Linked DNA regions of Drosophila melanogaster. The protein of the gene in region 2 purifies or fractionates together with the protein of the main gene of each other region. This does not show direct contact. Each region holds a gene or a part of one and is shown on either strand. Other genes may lie near its edges.

Region 1 (7,047 bases), on a different chromosome or scaffold from region 2:
ATGGATAGACGTCCTGAACCCCAATCAACCTCAACCTCCTCTCTAATTCACTGGGACGGAAGAGAAGCCTCTTTGTTTTCCTTTTAGTAAATGAGTTTCGCGTGGCGCGTGGCGGAGGCACACCAATGCGAACCCTTCCTTCGCATTTTTACTAGTTTTGTAATGGAAAAGACCCCGAACTAGTGCGTAAATAACTATAACTTCATTTTACCGTGTACTGTACTAAACATAATTATAATGTACTGTATATTTAATTATTTGGATACAAGAACTAAAAGTGAGACACGTAAATACAAAAGTCTATTGATATTACTACTCTTTTGTTGTGTTATAAACTGAGAAAGAAAAACCCACGGGCTTGTTGCTACTTTCGCTCACTTTAATGCTGAATTAACATAAATTTACTGCACAATTTGCTGAATTTCTAGATTAACATTTTATTCAATTAAATAAATAGCATCACAATTACTTTAATTTAAACCATTCAAGTTATTGACCACGCCTAAACCTTAGCAATTTTTAAGTTTTTTTTTTTATTACATTTTTGCTAAGCCTTTGGATAAACTAATTGCTTACAGCTTTTAGAATTTGAATATATTTTAGCGCAAAAGTAAATTAATTTTGTAATAAATAAAAAACGGTTGTATCATTGTTAGAGTATCGACACATAAAATAATAAATCAGCAAAAACAAGTGAGAATTGCAACAAGCCCGAATAGTTTGTGGAAATCATAAAAATAATTTAAATCAAAGTTGGCGCTGCCTCTGTCTGCGCTGACGTCGACGCCTACTGCGCAGCCGCTGCCCGCTCGCTGTCCAATAAGAGATCCGATTGGGAATCTGAAGTCTTCTTAGCTGATGCTGCTGTTGTTGTTGTGGTCGCTGGTAACTTCTTTCATTGTTGTTGTAGACAGCAGCGAGTTTTTTGTTGTTTGTTTTGGGAAAGGAGTAAAAATTGTAAATAAGTCACATAAAGGCCTAAACTAGGGTTCATTACCCGTCACCAGACTCGTTATTAGTGGGTTCTTGTTTCTATTTACAAAACATTTTTGGTATTATTTGGCTAAATGTGCGTTTTTTTATGTGCGTGTGTGTGTATGTGTGCGTTTTGTGCATTGGTGTTTGTGATGCGGATGTCAGTGCGTTTTTTGTTGTCGTTCAATCGATTTTCTTTTACTCTTCTTCGCTTTCTTCGGAAGAGGAATTCTCGCCATCCGGTTTGCTTTCTTCATTTTCGGGCGTGTCTTCTGTCTTCGTTTCTGCAGGTTTTTCCTCGTCGATTGGTTCTTCCTCTTTGGTTTCCTCTACAGATCTTTCGGCAGTCATAACTTCTTCGGGCTTTTCTTGAGCCTCATTTTCATTAGGATTTTCTTTAATATCTTCAAATTTTTCGTTTTCCGTACTTACAACCTCGGATATTTCAGTACTACCAACTTCCTCGACCTTTTTGTTGGTCTCATTTTCTTCGAATTCATCTTTCACATCCTCCGATTCTACAACCTCATCATCTTCGGTACTTTTAACCTCTGATTTGGTAGCACTATCCGAGTCCGCGGACTCTTCTGTTGCATTTTCCTCGGTCTTTTCTTCAACATCCTCGTCTTTATCATTCTCATTGACTTTGGTGCCTTTGGTGTCATTTTCCTCCGTTTTTTCCTTGGAGCTTTCGGCCTCTGATTCTTCAACGGCATCAACTTCCTCGGACTTTTCTTGCGTCTCGTTTTTCTCCGATTTTGTATCCCCATCATCATTGGTGGCCTCAACATCTGGTTTCTCAGTAGTGTCAGCATCCTCCGATGTTTCTGCGGTCTCCTCACTTCCCTCTAATTTATCTTTAACATCCTCGGATTTTTCAGTTTTATCATCCTTAACATCCTGGGAGTTTTCCTTATCATCTTTTACAATCTCGGATTTTTCATCCTCATCATCTTTAACATCCTCGGATTTTCCAACCTCATCATCTTTGGTACTCTCAACCTCTGATTTTTCCTTGGTATCCACTTCCTCAGACTTTTCTTGGGTCTCACCTTCAGCGTCTTTACGGGGTAGAAATTTTGATTAGAGTCTAGGGACGATCTTCCTACTTTACCTGTAGTTTTCTCCTCCGTTTTCTTGTCCCCAGATTCTTCGGTTTCAGTCTTTTTGTGGGTGGTGGGATTAGGGGTGCGAATGTTTTGTGGGTTGTTGATTGGTGGTTTTTCGTTTTTTTTTTTTTTTTGGGGGGGGGGGGGGTAAAGTGGAAGTTGTATTTACAAGATCAGACAATCGCTAGGCTACTACAGTGCAAGAGATCATGCCTTTGTTAGCTCCTATAAGCTCTAAAAGCCTAGAGTTATGGTTCGGTCATGCAGGATCTATCGATCTATTACCTTTTGCTCGGCATTCTCTTCATCTGCGTCTTCATCCTCGCCCTTTGAATTCTCCTTGTCCTTGCCGTCTTCGTTCTTTAGAGAATCACTCAATTGTTAGTAATGTTTTTACATTACGAAACTGTTTCGAAAAAGTCGGTCTTTAAGGCAACAAAATTGCTCAAGAATATTGAAATTCACCATATTCCTGTACTTTTCGTGAAAAGTTTTTTTCGTCAAACCTAAAGACCAACTTTGGAAAATCTCTCTATAGATATTTGGTATTAAAAAAGCCTTTTTGTAAATTAAGTTGTCACATTCTCATTGTTAAACTAGCCGTTGATAAGTTGGTGTTAGAGTTTGAGTGTGTTGCATAGTGTTAGAAAAACAAGCTTGCGATTGGTTATAGTTTTTTTTTTTAGTTAATACAAATATATTTCCTTTTATTACAGGGGCAGCGCTTTTTTATGTTTTAGCATTAACATAACGGCTGCACAATAAATTTCAGCTCTCTACACTACTCCAACTTAGGCTTAAGTGCTCCGAGTAAGTATTCCGAGTCCTTATTACAGGTGTGTATAAATGGTACATACAAGTTGTTTGGATGTCAGTTAATGAATATAAATATTTTGATTAAAATTGTCTTTTCACCGGGGGCCAACACAATCGAATGCCCTCGTTTAAATACGCTCATGAACTTAGCTTAAGAACCGCAGTAGTCATAATGAATTCGTTAAAAATTGAAAGATCTTCGATTTCATGCTCTACCGATGAAGGTCTAAAAAGTCTCTAAATAAATCTCGTAGTTTTAAAAGTTAGTTTTGTAAATTTTGTATAATTTAAAAGGAAGATTGCACTTCATATTCTGCAATTATCTATACAACTCCCCCAAATCCCTATGGGCATAGAAATCGAAGACGGGCTCCATAAAATATTGATATATGTATGTAGAAAGTTGGTAGTATCTGTGCTGTTAGGTAAACATTGGGTGTTATTTCTGCTGTTAAGTGTAAGGGCTTTAGTTTCAAGACATTGCTGTTGTTGTTAATTCTATTGCTCTGCTGCAGATGATTGCTGGCTGCGTTTGTTGCGTCGTAACAGTTAACGGAAAATACGTGAAAATAGCTCAAGTTCAAACCTCGGCCTTCTCAGCAGCCTCCTCCTTGACATCCACATCGCCATCGCCGGCCTCCGTTTTCTTATCCTCCGCCTCCGTTTCCGCCTCCTCCTTCTTGGCATCGCCGTTCTCCTGCTTCAGTTCGATTTGGGCGGTACTAACTGCCGTGGTGTCGGCTGGAGCCAGCTTGAGGAACACCTCCAGGGTATCGATCTCGTTGGCCATGTCAAAGGCGTCGTAATCACCGCAGTACTCGTCGTCGTTGAACAGCTGCGGAGGAAGCGGATGACGGGGCTCTGGATCGCTGACCGTTCCACCGTTGCTTGTCGATTTGTTTTGCATCAGCTCCTTCTCGGATTCCTTGCCGGGCTCCGTGATGTCCACCGTGTCGTACTTGATGTTCTTGCTGTCCAGGATCATCAGAACGCGCTGCTGGCGCTTCTTCACCTGTAAAATTGGATTTCGACGGTCAGTGAAAGCATTTAAATTTGAAAAGAAAGTTAAAAATTAAAGTATATAAAATACCTTTAACATGTATCGTTTTGTTCAGTGTAGCTACCTTTGACAACGCTGTTAATTACAGCGATGACAAATCGCTAATGAAGTGTTACCGGCAAGCCCAAACGCACACAAGCGCACACAAAGCCAACTCCCCGCCGATATAAACATATGTACGTAAAAAGAACGCCAGAACCACGCGATATGATAAGGCTAATTAAAATGGTTTGTTGCACCCCAGCATTTATCTTACGATAAGAATATGTGTTTCCCAACGCTTTTTTAAAGTGTACAAAGACAGGACAAAAACAAATAATTGTGAACCGTACAATGACCGTTATGTTTTTGTTCTTATTGGAAGAGGAAGATTGCCAATTGAACAAAGGCACCGAAAGAGTGAGAGGGGGAAGTGAATCACCCCTCACGCATGTACACACACACACACATGCACACGCACCCACGCAACTGCGATCAATGGAAATCCCTCTCTTCCATGAACAATTTACAGTTCACAGTGGAATGAGCTTATATGGGCAATGAAATGTATGTTTGTTCTGCTTCTTGCCACCACTAACACTCGCACACAAGGGCACTCACGAAAATACCCACTTGTTTTTCTTTGACTGTACAGACATACAGACTTACATACCACACACTACATCATCATCATTGTCCAACTCACGTACATACACACAAAGACGAAACGCAGCAGAAGAAATAGAATTTGCAATGCGTTCGTCACCACTTTAGTTTGCTTCTTTTCCTTTTTATCTGTTTGTCGCTAATACCAGGGCCAAACATTCCAATAACATGACACTATTTCGGTTTTAAGCCCGCCACGCCCACAAACTCACCTCCTTATTGCCGGACATGCCGCTGACGTAGACTTTCAAGACCATTTTCGCAGATTACTGTGTCCTCGCACCGCAAATGAAATAATATTTTGCAACTAAAATCTGCTGGCTACTTTCACGGCGATTAAAAATATTTATAGATCTTTTCTTTTCCTGCTTTCTTCCGTCCTGCGCCCCTACGTAATGTTTTTCCACTGGTGACGAAGGCACACGCACTGGGCAAGGTCGTTGGTTTTATTGGCTGTAAAAACGGCAAAGACGCGGATAAAAAAATTGCCTGGCGACGCTTATAAAAGTGCAAAAATATTTGATATCAGGAGTGGAAAATATTTCCTACTTTGTCGTTGAATTGAATGGTGGGACCGCGCATTGACGGCTATAGAAAACCTTCCGGCTTATCAAATATACTAAATATGATGCTTGATTAAAATACTAAAAACTTTGAACTTAAGTGATATTTCAAAATTAAATATTTTTAAGACAACTTAAATTTTATTATGCTCCCATGTAAGGTTTTCATTTTTTAAACGTTCTTCGATTAATAATCGTAATAATAAAATAATAATTTATAAAAAGCATAAGATAGGCTTTTTAAGGTTTTTTAAAAGATAGAAGAAAAGGATTCTTATTATAGAACAAATTATTTTTAATTTGGCGTCGATGAGTTAGCGGCTTCAAGGAACGGTGGAATTTAGAACATGAGGGTGTTTTTTATTTATTAATTTTTTGTTACTTGGAGTTGAATTCCATAAAAATAAAAATGCAATAATGCTAACTTTCTACAAACGACTTAAGGTTATAGGACTCAAGAAAGTACATAGAATATGCAATTGAAAAATGTTCTCCCCAGACTTTTCGGTTATTTGAAGTTTTTGCTATATTTGGTAGAACCATAAAGTATTTTTTGGTATAGATCCGTTAGCAGGGCAACCAATATTAGCGGTCGCCATGCGGTCACTCTGTTCACGTCCCGTCACGCAAGCATCGTCGTCCATTTTTGCTAAGAAGCGAGACGAAAATTTGTAAATTATATCTAGCGAGTCGCCGAGGACGAACAACTATTGACAGTGCATTTCAGTGGCCTTTGGAATACTGCTCAAACAACCAGCAAGCAATAACATTACTTATATCTAACCGAAAACCTAAATTAATCACCCAAACTGAAGTACGGACGTGAATGTAAGTGGGTATGTGCCAGCGGACTAGTGGCACAATAAAAAAGTAAATAAAGCGCGTGTGAAGTGGTGCAGAAAGCAAAAAAGCAGTCGGAAGGAAAAATCAAAATACGCATTAATGTAAGTGCGATTGTTGGAAAAGCTGTTTAACTTTTTGTTCCTCTGAAAAGCTGATAATGATATGCGATGCGACCATTTTTAAAATTTCATGAAATCAACATTCCAACTCACAACGGTGTGCGTGTGCGTTTCTTTGTGTGCGTGCGTGTGCAGGCTAGAGTGGGACAACCAGTGTGATCGCTTTGGCTGCTGCCATTTCGTTTGCTTTTTTTTAAACTAATCTCTGGCATTTGTCACGTAAAAGAGTATAACGTTAAACCCAAAAACGTTTTGTATATGGCTTTAAATATTTAATAATTGTGGGCAGAGACAGCAACACCAGCAGCAGACGCATACACACGTGTTGCGGTTTATCGAGAGGGCAGTGTGCGTGTGTTAGTGCGGAAAACAGCTGGTACAGCTGCCGCTGCAGCGACGAAGAAGAAGAAAAGAAAGAAAGGGGAAGAGTGAGAAGAACACGCATTATTATCCTGCGTAGTTTTCTTTTATCGGTGGTTGTTCTGCTATTGGGTTACAGTTTACACTTTTCTCTGTTTTCTTTATTTTCCCTCTGCATTGCTATGCATTTTGCCTTTGCGTGGTGGTTTTTTTTATTTTCATTGTCGGTCGTCCTTTAATTGCGCTGCGCCACTTCGTTTCGTCGCTTTCTTTGGCTGGTTTCTCCTTCTCTTCGGAGTTTCTGGATTCGTATTCCGATTCGGTATCGCCCTTTTCCTGCGACAACAGCAGCTGGGTGCACGGTATCGGAGCTGTCGGCGATAGCCGAAAGAAGCTAGAAACCCCAAGGAAGCCAACATCCTTTTAATTGTCGTGGAAACTATAATAGTCTCATAAAAATTAGGTTTTTAAAATGGTTTTGTCATTCTATTCTAGAAAAAGCTATGAATATAAGAATATAACAATATGTTTAATTGCTTACTAATTTTATTGAACAA
Region 2 (4,636 bases):
TCAGCGCGTGTTTCATTAGCTCGTAGTAGCTTTCCTGAAACAGGCTCACTGCCGGACCAATGGGATCCGAGCTGTCGGTGATGATGACATCAAATTCGTTCTTGTGTTTCTTCATATAGTCGAATCCATCGCCAATGGTAAGCTTCAACTTCTCGTTGGCGAAACCACAGGCCATCGCTGGGAGATATTGCTTGGACAGCTCGACGACACGGTCGTCGATTTCCACCTGATGCACTTCCTCGACCAGTGGATGCTTTACCACCTCGCGAGCAACGCCGCCATCGCCACCGCCCACGATCAGGACCTTTTTGGGATTGGGATGGGCGCAGAGCGGCAGGAAAGATATCATCTCCTGGTACGAGAACTCATCCCTGGCCGTGCACTGAATGATTCCGTCCAGAATTAGGCACCGTCCATAGGTTTCGCTGTAATAGAATTATCGAATTATTGATTTTTTCAGCGGCGCAAGTGTACCCAATGTTCGACTGGAGGAACTCAAACCTGAAAGACGAGCTGACTTGCTATCAGTATTCTGTCTGTCGTTTTTGGCCCTAGATGACTCCATCGATAAGGCTGTTGGTGCAGATCAAGAATAAACACACGAAAACCAAAGGGTCCGAAAATGCTGGCTGGGCAATTTGTGTTTGAACAACCAGTGGAAAATTTTCGATTTCTACAATCTATGATTTAGGGACCTTCAATGTAGGATACATATGGGATTAGGCTATTGTAGGTTAGTCCTTAAAATCTCAACAGCTTAAGCTGTTAAAAATTTCGGATTTGTGTGACTTGCGTGTTTATAATGATTTTAATTTAGTTTTTTAATCTCAATCTAAGCTAATTTATTTTGACATCTATCTTCAAACTTCAGTCTAGACTGAGGAATTTCGGATGTAAACAAATGGGGTTGTGTGTCCAAGTATTTGTTTATCTATTATTTATCTTACGTTTCAACGATCTGGATGTCTTGGAACCGGGACTTCTCCTTGTGGATGACCTCCTTGACTTTCAGGGAGAATGACTGACCGGGCCAGAGATCGGCCTGCAGTTCGCTGAACCATCCGTTGTTAAGGGAATCCATTTGTTTAATGCCGCATTCGAATCGGCGTTTGATAAGATTGGCTCAACACGTGGGCTCGACACGAACTTACCGTATCTGCCACAAAGCTAGGTCTTAAAAAATACCTTAGAAGGTCTATTGGTATAAATACCAAAGCTTTTTTGTTTTAATTAATTTAATTTCACTTTTCTATTTCTGGCTATTTATCTTTTTTATTAATATAATACATTTCCAGCGAAAATTGTAATTTTTTAATGTAATAAAGTCAAATGTAAAAGTTAGCACTTATAGATAAAAAAGTTCCTAAAATTAACGAAATACAGGTGCAAAGTTTTGGAATTCCTTTATTTGTTTTTGATTTGTATTATAATGTATAATTAACATTCTAACTTTTTAAATACTATGAACTTTATCGGGTGAAAACTTAATTGTTAACATGTGATGTAAGTGTGAGTTAAAATTTTCAAAACCCTTAAGCCGTTAAAAAGCTTAGGAATGTTCTGGAAGCACAACTGTTCTTCCTGTAACTACTACAATTGTTAAGTAGTAGAAGAATTGTTATTGGAGTAATTTTATGTTTTCTTAGCTTAGCCTGCTGCAAGTGATTAATTGTATGCCAGAATATATTAATTTTATATATTTTATAATTTAATTTAATTAGCAAACGGTCACTTTAGTGTTTCTAATTCCAGCTCAAGCAATCGATAGCGACAGGGCAGCATGCGATTGCTTATCGAAATCAGCCCTGGCCGGTGAAAAAGAATACGTAGACATCCCTGATTGGCCTGATTTGGGCCAATGAAAACGTTCCAGCAAACCAATTTCAGTAACAAGCCGTCCCGCTCCGACACGCACGATTTAGATGCAATAAATAAATAGCACTTTCTTGCCGGCATTTAGTACTTAACTTTAACCGAGTTCGGACAACCATCGGAGTTGGAAGAGTCAGTCCAAAAAGTGGTGCGGGATCGTTCACATGATGTGGTGCAAAACAGTGATAGTGTTGCTGGCGACAGTCGGCTTTATTAGTGCCGAGGTTTATCTGAAGGAGAATTTCGACAACGGTAAGTGGTAGTCATCGCGTTCTATGGCCGCCATGTGGTCCTCCGCTCCCCTTCAATGAATAACGAAAGGAGAGACAATAAAAATAGAAGAATAATAAAAGCACTCCCCCGCTTGTTCCCGTAGAAAACTGGGAGGATACGTGGATCTACAGCAAACATCCTGGCAAGGAGTTCGGAAAATTCGTCCTCACCCCCGGTACCTTCTACAACGATGCTGAGGCCGACAAAGGTAGCGTATATGTGTCGATGTGTCGTCACTCCCTTTTCCAAATCTTTCTCTTCGCTCGTTCTGCCATTTTTATTTTTCGTCGGCGTGTTATCTGCATTTGTATGTGCCCGTGTATGCGGAGAACATGGGCACGAAGAAGAAGAGGAAGAAGAAGAAAAACCACTACGTGTACGTTTTCGAGTAGCTATAGTAACTGTATACACATTTTTTCTCGCCCCCCACCTCCGCGCGGCGCGCATTCGTATTGATGTGGACACACATTATATAGGCATTCAGACCTCTCAGGATGCTCGATTCTACGCGGCCAGCCGCAAGTTTGATGGCTTCTCCAACGAGGACAAGCCCCTCGTGGTGCAGTTCTCCGTGAAGCACGAGCAGAATATCGACTGCGGCGGCGGCTATGTGAAGCTGTTCGACTGCTCCCTCGACCAGACCGACATGCACGGCGAGTCGCCGTACGAGATCATGTTCGGCCCGGACATCTGCGGACCCGGCACCAAGAAGGTCCATGTGATCTTCAGCTACAAGGGCAAGAACCACCTAATCAGCAAAGACATCCGCTGCAAAGATGACGTGTACACCCACTTCTACACGCTGATTGTCAGACCCGACAACACGTACGAGGTGCTCATCGACAACGAGAAGGTGGAGTCTGGCAACCTGGAGGACGACTGGGACTTCCTGGCCCCCAAGAAGATCAAGGATCCCACCGCCACCAAGCCCGAAGACTGGGACGATAGGGTAAGTTGTAAATCCCCGCCCAAATCAGACTTTAGCCCATCGAAAAACCGGTTTGGCTCATTGTTATTAAACAACAACGTAAATCTCTGTAGGCCACCATTCCCGATCCCGATGACAAGAAGCCCGAGGACTGGGACAAACCAGAGCACATTCCCGACCCAGATGCCACAAAGCCTGAGGATTGGGACGATGAGATGGACGGCGAGTGGGAGCCACCGATGATCGACAACCCTGAGTTCAAGGGCGAGTGGCAGCCAAAGCAGCTGGACAACCCCAACTACAAGGGCGCCTGGGAGCATCCCGAGATCGCCAATCCCGAGTATGTGCCCGACGACAAGCTGTATCTGCGCAAGGAGATCTGCACCCTGGGCTTCGATCTCTGGCAGGTCAAGTCCGGCACTATCTTCGACAACGTCCTGATCACGGACGACGTGGAGCTGGCCGCTAAGGCTGCTGCCGAAGTCAAGAACACCCAGGCGGGCGAGAAGAAAATGAAGGAGGCCCAGGATGAGGTGCAGCGCAAGAAGGACGAGGAGGAGGCGAAAAAGGCTTCCGACAAGGACGATGAGGACGAGGATGATGACGATGAGGAGAAGGATGATGAATCTAAGCAAGACAAAGATCAAAGCGAACACGACGAATTGTAAGGACGTCTAGGGAAAATTACGTCGAGAAATATTCGGTATTTTTTGTGTGTTGGTAGCTGCTTTGATGTTCTAAGCAAACGGAAACCACAATTACAATTTGTAAGACTTATAATTTATAAACATACAACTTGTTGTTTTTTTCCATTGCTCTTTTCGAGCGATTTAAGGGTTGTTTAGCTTGTTTATCAAAATGGTGGTGCCACGTGAACAAATCACGGCCGAATGGCAACGCTGTCTATATCGTCGTGTCTACATCGAATTTTGATTTACAGAAAAACGGTGTTGCCACTCCAAATGGTTTTCAAAGTGCTGTTCGAATTCTACGAAAATATAAATCCTAAATTCAATTAAATCCCAATATGAACTATAGAAACAATGAGATATAAACATAACCGAATCCTAATTTATTTATTCGAGTAAGCCGTGGTATTTGGTCAAGAATTTAAGGTATCACTTTAGCTTTAGCTTTTGATCTCCATCCCGATGCTTGCCCAGAAAGTGCCGCTTCAGATGATGTTTCTCCCGGAAGTCCTGCAGGCAGATGGAACACTTGTAGGGCCGTTCATCCGAGTGGCGTCGTCGGTGCTTCGCCAGGTTATTGTTGTCCGAAAAAGTCTTGGGGCAGTGGGGGCATTGGTAGGGCTTCTCGCCCGTGTGTATGCGGATGTGGACCTTAAGGGCCTGCTTGGAACGGAAGTTGGACACGCAGAAGGGACAGGCATGCGGCCGTTCGCCCATGTGCGCATGGATGTGCACCTTGAGGGCCGACTTGTTGAAGAATCCCGTTTGGCAGTATGAACATTTGTGGGGTCCGTTTCCCTGTTTCGATTCCGCGTGGATCAACAGGTGCGCCTTGAGGTTTTGTTCGCGAGTAAAGGCCTGCTGACAGTGGGGG

What was found. The genes of interacting proteins can lie anywhere in the genome.
Region 1: the proteins of Calr (region 2) and Sh3beta purify together in Drosophila melanogaster (affinity purification with mass spectrometry, with the first as the bait; one large-scale study listed by BioGRID). This does not show direct contact.

What each region holds. Positions count from the first base shown.
Region 1 is NT_037436.4:7,364,073-7,371,119, forward strand, and holds Sh3beta (Sh3beta), read right to left. Parts: upstream 5,189-7,047; 5' UTR 4,863-5,188; coding exon 4,818-4,862; intron 4,119-4,817; exon of another isoform or gene 4,000-4,118; coding exon of another isoform or gene 3,991-3,999; intron 3,913-3,990; coding exon 3,487-3,912; coding exon of another isoform or gene 3,481-3,486; exon of another isoform or gene 2,769-3,480; intron 2,445-2,768; coding exon 2,370-2,444; intron 2,139-2,369; coding exon 2,090-2,138; intron 2,037-2,089; coding exon 1,174-2,036; 3' UTR 998-1,173; intron 893-997; coding exon of another isoform or gene 788-892; 3' UTR 512-787; downstream 1-511.
Region 2 is NT_033777.3:9,628,166-9,632,801, reverse strand, and holds Calr (calreticulin), read left to right. Parts: upstream 1-1,950; 5' UTR 1,951-2,036; coding exon 2,037-2,124; intron 2,125-2,248; coding exon 2,249-2,353; intron 2,354-2,361; exon of another isoform or gene 2,362-2,547; intron 2,548-2,621; coding exon 2,622-3,094; intron 3,095-3,186; coding exon 3,187-3,741; 3' UTR 3,742-4,111; downstream 4,112-4,636. Other genes in the region: SpdS (spermidine synthase), read right to left, coding at 1-425, 948-1,081; CG8319 (uncharacterized protein), read right to left, coding at 4,192-4,636. UniProt on the Drosophila melanogaster protein: Molecular calcium-binding chaperone promoting folding, oligomeric assembly and quality control in the ER via the calreticulin/calnexin cycle.